2 linked regions of the Sus scrofa genome follow. The protein of the gene in region 2 purifies or fractionates together with the protein of the main gene of each other region. This does not show direct contact. Links are inferred from orthologs where the notes say so. Each region holds a gene or a part of one and is shown on either strand. Other genes may lie near its edges.

Region 1 (3,649 bases), on a different chromosome or scaffold from region 2:
TGCAGGTAGCTGCCCCAGAATGCCTCTAGGAGCAGTTCACTCAGAGGCAGAGCATGGGGCTCTTGACTCCTCCTGCTTCCTGGTGGGGCGCGGTCACTGGGACCTGCTACGTGCAATGCCCTGGTAATGGTGTTACTGTGACCCAAGGCCTTGAGGAGGTCTTAGCCACGTCCTGGGAGCTGGCTGACCTGGGCAGCCTGACAGACGCAATGGACAGGGCAGGGCAGGGTTCCAGAACAGTGCCTACTGCCGATTCACCACTCATAACATCCACGTACTGCTCTGCTTCCCACCACGTGGAGGGCGCATCCCAGCCTGCTTTGGATCGTGATTCAGCTTAGCCTACATCTGCTCCAGAGCAGAGCTTATCAAACTTTCAAAGTGGACACGAATTCCCCACCAAGTTCCAATTCTGCAGAACTGGCGCTTGAGATTGTGCCTTTCTACAAGCTCCTAAGCAATGCCTGTCCTGCTGGTGGGAGGAGCACAGGCGGCATAGCTCAATCTCCCTGGACCCAGGTGCCCCTCTCCCCTCACCAGGCGTTCATCCTGCCCTCACCCCCTCCTCCCCACCCAACACACTGTCACATTTCACCGTGTTTCTGGACGGGAGCAGTAACATGGACAGCCTGAAGGTCACTTACGTTTGCTGTTAAAACACACGGTTTTTTCAATGTACCTGCTTTCCCAGTCACGTAGAAAATAGGAGTTGGGTTATCAATGGATCCAGAATCATGATGCAACCACTCCAAAAACTTTCTGTCCATAGCAGCCTCTGAAGTCAGCCATCAGGGCGAGCCATGGCTTGGTCTCAGCAGGCATCTCTAACACTGCTCTGTCCAGTCTCTTCTGGAATCCTTCTATATTCTGCCTGTCCCACCCCTTGGTGTTGACCAAACCTGCATGTGGTATCCCAGGTGTTAAACCATCACTGTTAAGCACCCACTGCCTGAGAGACAGGGGAAGAGGCTGGGGACTCGGCCCCACGTCACCTCAAACGTCTGCCCAGATAAACAAGACAGTCTCTCTATAAAACCTACCGTGGGAAGAGAGACCCCTGGGCACACAGCCCCACTCATGATGTGCCAGCACGCCGTTATCTCTGCAGATTTATACTGGATGATAAGGACTAAAAGGACCATTATCTGTTCTCAATGTGTGTCACTGTGCAAAGACAAGGTCCCTGAACAACAGTCTTCTCTACACTGCACTGCAAAGACGATCCTCTAAAAACAACCACCAAAGAACTCCAGGACTCTCCTGTGCTCCCTCACAAAATCAGCCTGGAAGCCTTAGATCCCTCGCCCTCGCCTGGAGAGGAAAGCACATACATACCCAGTTTGGGGACGGGCTGCGTGTCCCAGAACTGGTAGCTTCGCTTGCTAGCCTCCTCCATGGTTTTTGCAGGTCCCTGACCCACTGAAAAAAGTTCTATGGCCTTCTGTATTTCCTGGATCCTCTCTGCTGGCAAAGAGTTCATCTGAACAAAACAAAGTTGGGAGAGAAAAGGCCCGTTATATTAATAAGCACTTCTGATAAATTCAAGTCCAAGAGTTAAGGGGGTGTGGTTCCCCAGAGGTGACCTATCGTATGACAATTGGAAAGAGCATGGTTGATGATGAGCAATGATGGGTTGGTGCTTCCTAGAGGGTTTCTCTTCTTAGTCTATGATGTCTGATGGCAGAGTAAGACATGCTCGGCGTTAAATTTCAAACAACGCATCAGCGTAAATACATATATAGAAGGGGACTTCCCTGGTGGCTCTGTGGGTTAAAAATCAGGGGCCATCACTGCTGTGGGGTAGGTTCAAACCCTGGCCCCAGAACTTCCGCATGCTGTGGCGGAGGGGGGAAACAAAACAAAACCAAACCTTGGGAAGGTTTAAAAAAACCAACAATCCCATCTCTCAAATATAATCCCTGTCATCAACAGTCTTAAATTTTGGGAGTTCCTGTTATGGCTCAGAGGTAATGAACCCACTAGTATCCATGAGGACATAGGTTCGATCCCTGGCCTCGCTCATTGAGTTAAGGATCCGACGTTGCCGTGAGATATGGTGCAGGTCACAGACGCCACTTGGATCCAGCCCTGCTGTGGCTGTGGTATAGGCCCGCAACTACAGCTCCAATTTGACCCCTAGCCTAGGAACTTCCATATGCCCCACATGCGGCCCTAAAGAGCCAGGAACGAAAAATAAAAACCAGGCTTAAATTTGGAAAGTAGGGTGAGAAGAAGCAAATATAATTTCAGACTTTTGTGCATGCAAGTTCCAAACACACACACAATTTTTAAAAACTCAAACTGGATCATATAGTATTATCTTACAGACTGTTCTTCAAACACTGTCTTAGAGACCTTTCCACGCAGTTGCATGGACCTGCCCATTCCAATGACTGAGCCCTTGGTGCACAGACCACCACATATCTGGCCACCCCCTACCAACGGGCATCTTGGTGACCTTGGGCTTCAGTTTTACAGACAACGCTGTAATGAACTTCCTTCTACACCTAATTCTGCTCACTGAATACATATTTTTTCAGGATAAAGCCTAAGAAAGGAGGCTTGCTGGGTCAAAGGAGATACATATTTGAGATTATATATACTGTCAACTTGCTCTTTAAAAAGAGAATATTGGAAAATTCCCACTGTGGCACAGTGGGTTAAGAATCCGATTGCAGCTTCTCGGGTCAAGGCTGAGTTACAAGTTCAACCCCCAGCCTAGCACAGTGGGTCAAAGGATCTGGTGTTGCTACAGCTATGGCTTGGATTCAATCCCTGGCCTGGGACTTCCATGTGCCATAGGTACAACCTAAAAAAAAAAAAAGAGAGAGCAAGCGAGAACAAGAGAGAATGAATATATTGGAGTTCCTTGGTAGCTCAGTGGGTTAAGTGTCTGGCATTGTCACTGCTATGGCACGGGTTCAATCCCTGGCCTGGGAACTTTCACATCCCTTGTATGTGTACACATGTGTGCACGCTAAATAAATAATAAAATAAAAAGAGAATATCAGTTAATAACCCGATGAAGAGTGGATGGGAGTGTGTTTCCCTAGACTCTTATCATTAAATTCACCAAATCTTAACCTCTGCCAATCTAGGAGGAAAAAAACAGTGCTTTATTTTTTCTTTTTGGCCATGCCCCCAGCATGTGGCAGTTTCTGAGCAGGAATTAGACCCGCACCACGTGACCCGAGCCACAGCATCGACAACGCCGGATCCTTAACCAATTGAGCCGTAGAGGAACTCTTCCATTTTAAGTTTAACCATCCTTCCATATAAAAACCTTTACTTCTTCTTTGTGAATGGTCTACTCATTTCATCATTTCATTATTTTAAACCGATTGATTCATGTACTGGAAATGTTTGCCCAGTTTGTTGTCTGCCTTTCTGACTTTTACAAAAAGTCTGAAATGTGCCGCTTTTTCTTTTATGGCTTCTGGATCTTATGTCAGGCTTAAGATTATACAAATACCCATAACTTCTAATACTTTTCCTTCACTGCTTTTTTTTCCCTTTCGTTTACATTGCAAAGGAAAGGAATAACAGAAACCAACATATTTACATGGCTTATTCCTGGGAAGTAGGACTATGTGTGATTTTCATATTCTTCTTCTTGCTGTGTTTGGTTTTTTTTTTTCTTTTTTTGTCT
Region 2 (3,749 bases):
CATTTTGCTAAAATCAAATGGTCTACTCACTGCCTTAGGAATTTTGTTTGTTTGTTTGTTAGTTTTTGCTTTTTAGGGCCACACCCGCGGAATATGGAGGTTCCCAGGCTAGGCAGGGGTCACGTCGGAGCTACAGCTGCCAGCCTACACCACAGCCACATCAGATCCCAGCTGCGTCAGCGACCTACACCACAGCTCATGGCAACGCCGGATCCTTAACCCACTGAGGCCAGGGATCGAACCCTGGTTAGATTCGTTTTCGCTGCATCACGACGGGAACGCCAAAGAATTTTTATCCTGTTTCGCTCATGTTATTTCTCCCACCTGAAAAGCCTTTCTCTCTTCCCTCGGCTTTTTAAAATGCTCTACCTCCTTAAAGTCCCACTCAAGGTTCAAATTCTAAGAACCCTTTATGTCTACAAAGATCTCATCCATCCAGAATATTTCAACAAAGGTTGCCAATGGTAAATGCCAGTGAATCACGTGTGCCCAAGTTAAGGTAAGAGGACATGCTAGGTATCCCCACTTGTGCTAGTGCTGAAGGCTCCTCAACAGGGGTTTGAAATTTTCATTGTCCTCTCATTTTCACAAATGTCAATTCATTCTTGTTTGCTGGAAGAGTGCAGGCTAATACACGGAGGACCAAAAAAACCCTGTTAATTGGTGTGATCTTTTTGAAACTTCACTGAAAGATGACTGTGGAGCCATACACTTATCTAAGACTAAAAGAGCTATTATGTTAGGTACATTTAGGGCCCTGCAGGAGAAAACAAGGTTCACAGCTCAGCTTATTTTTATCAACTTCCTACTGACAAAATAGAGTGCTATTCTGAACAGAAAACATAAAGATATAAAAACCTTTCTATGAAATTTGGAGGAAATGAGTCTTACAATGCCCAGAGAATCATCAGTCAGCCACATTACTGGTCCAAACACAATGCACAATCAATTCTTGTTAAATAATTAAAAGTCTCATTTCATTGTTATAAGGACAGGATTAAACCTCCCCACCCCACCCCCACAAAAGATATCCAGAACTTTTGCAAGAAGACAAATTCTGAGGCCAATTTAGGGGCAATTTTCACTCAACACTCTAATTTATACCATTTGTTCCTAGAGCTGCATCCCTCAGGTCACTTTACAACTGATACTCATTGACCTTCAAAAGAAGGTTCATATCTACCCTATTATATTCAGTTTAAGAAAACAGAGGGAGCCCACAGCTTTCTTTTTTTTTGTTTTTTTTGTTTTTTTTTTAAAGAATACAGAGGAGGGAGTTCCCCTTGTGGCTCAATGGGTTACGAACCCAACCAGTATCCATGAGGATGAGGGTTCGATTCCTGGCCTAGCTCACTGGGTTAAGGATCCGGTGTTGCTGTGAGCTGTGGTGCAGGTCACAGACAAGGCTCAGATCCCATGTTGGTTGTGTCTGTGGTGTAGGCCAACAGCTGTAGCTCCGATTTGCCCCCTAGCCTGGGAACCTCCACATGCCTTGGGTGCAGACCTAAAAAGAAAAAAACAAAAACAAAACAAACCCAGGGGAAACAGATACCAAGAGGCAAAAAAAATTTTTATAAAAGAAAATGGGCTATCCTCCAGAGCTTCATCACTTCCAGTGTTCCAAAGAGCTAGAGTTTTCCTAAACTGTTATTTAACTCTAGTCAGCAATTTTTCACCCGTTTAAATCTAGACTCCTCAATTAACTTTGTAAAGTCTCTTGATGGCAAGTATCATGATGCTTTTGCTTCTCCGCATTCCCCACAGGCATAAAACCCCAAGTGTTTTGCCCATTTTTGTAAAGGTTCTGAAGCTGGTGAAAGCTTAAGTGCAAGGTCACTGGGCAAGTCAGAGAAGACACAGAAAAACTGTCATTCAGTAGCCAGCTAAATATCACTTCTCAGATAGCAGACAGGTCCTTTCCATGTCCAGAATGATGCAAATCCTTAACAGATAATTAAAAAACAAAGCACCCACATAAACTTCATTACACCTGGCCATTAACCAAGCTTGTTGAATGATGCAAATCCTTAGCAGATGATTAAAAAACAGAACATACACACAAAACTTCACTACACCTGGCCATTAACCAAGCTCATTTACCATTAGATTTTGGAGAAAAGAGAGGCCTTTGGTCGTTCACCCGCATCCACCCCTTCCTCGTGACTTTACCTGCTTGTACCTGGCATACAGGTACAAGAGCTGCTCCCTGCTGGCCACCTGAACCAGGCCTTGGAGGTGCGCGGCCGCCTTCTCAAACAGCTCGGTCAGGCTCCTGGACGCCTCGGTCTCGGGGCTCTGGAGGGATTCCGCATCCCCGGAGTCGTCCCCCGAGCTCAGCTCTCCGCCGCTGTCGCCCGTGGTAGCCCCCGAAGGCAGGAATGGCGAGGCCATGTGTCCGCCTGTCTTCTTCAGACCGGGTGTAACGCCGTCTTGGGGGCCTGGCCCACCAGTCCCCTCCCTGAGTCGGACCCAAGCTCACTTACTCCGCGCTCCCTCCCTTAACTCTATCTCCCTCCCTTTTTCCGCCCGGCGCGTGCAGGGCTGGCTCCGCCACCCTCTGCGGCTAACCCCTGCGGCCCAGGTCTCCTCCGGCCTCTCCTAGCTACCCAGGACCTCGGACTCATCCGGGGTCTCTCCAGCAGCGCTGGGGGTCCGCTGGCCACAGGCCTCGAGGTCCCGGAAAGAGGGCGGGACGGGGGCCGGTAGGGGGCGGGGCGGGGGCGGGGCGACGTGAGTGCCGAGCACGCGCCCAGGGCTACGGCCGGCCCCCTGTTACACGCTGGGAGAGGGAAACGTGGGTAGCTCTGGGTTGGGCACCCTCCAGTAAATTAAGGGACTCTTGCGGTGAGCTAGGGAAACGCTGCTTGGAGAAAGTGCCCTGAGTCGTTCAGATGTCCGTTAATCGTTTTGCTGAAAATACCGGAACCCATTCTCGGGCTAGGCCATCGGCGGGTGGGGAAGGAGGCCGTCTATTTGGTAGTGTAGCGATAGGAGCGGAGTCGTGGGAAACTTGGAGCTGAGCACGAAGGTTCCGCCTGCGCCCGCCTCCCCAGATTGTGTAGCCTCAGTGTCCCAAAGCGGACGTCGAATGTCGGCATTCTCTTGCTGGAGGGATTGGTTCTAACTTGTAGAGTGAATGAAAATATGGGAGATGGGACCTTCAGCACCCAAACTGTGAGATTGGTCAAATCTCTTCATGTGTTGCTTTGCACGACTTGCAGAACCCACACCTGGCAGAGCTCATGGGACCCCACCCCCGTGGCCCTTAGCCTGATTTGCTTGTTCCCAGCTCAGTCTTTGCCGCTGTGCTGTGGCAGTCACTGACAGTGAAACCAGAAATACGCTTAGTTCTGCCCTATGTTAGAAACCTGCAAAAACTACAATATGATTATAATAATGTTAACAGAAATAATGATCTATAGTAAGAATAGGGTTTCCCAGGTGGCTCAGCGGGTAAAGGACCCCACGTGGTCACTGCTATGGCTTGGGTTTGATCCCCGGCTGGAGAACCTCCACCTGCCTTGTGGCAGCCCCAAAAGAAAATAATAGAAGAATGTTTTGTTTGAGCCAAACCGAGGACCAAAGTCGAGGAGTCAGCCTCTCAGTAGCTCTGAGGTACGGCTCTGTAGAAGCGTGGTTTTCAGCACATGAATGAATCTCATAACAGCAGAGCTCAGTAAGCCATCAAAAGCTCATCCTTTGTGTTTCCTTTGCTTCAAAGCTCAAAACCAAGCAAAACGGACCTATGA

The links. The genes of interacting proteins can lie anywhere in the genome.
Region 1: the proteins of ACBD6 (region 2) and NMT1 purify together in Homo sapiens (co-immunoprecipitation; 3 studies listed by BioGRID and IntAct, with this or other methods). This does not show direct contact. The link is inferred for Sus scrofa from reciprocal best matches to the Homo sapiens genes ACBD6 and NMT1.

What each region holds. Positions count from the first base shown.
Region 1 is NC_010454.4:18,320,326-18,323,974, forward strand, and holds part of NMT1 (glycylpeptide N-tetradecanoyltransferase 1), read right to left. Parts: intron 1,481-3,649; coding exon 1,336-1,480; intron 1-1,335.
Region 2 is NC_010451.4:122,113,083-122,116,831, forward strand, and holds the start of ACBD6 (acyl-CoA-binding domain-containing protein 6), read right to left. Parts: upstream 2,716-3,749; 5' UTR 2,392-2,715; coding exon 2,170-2,391; intron 1-2,169. UniProt on the Homo sapiens protein: Binds long-chain acyl-coenzyme A molecules with a strong preference for unsaturated C18:1-CoA, lower affinity for unsaturated C20:4-CoA, and very weak affinity for saturated C16:0-CoA. Does not bind fatty acids. Plays a role in protein N-myristoylation.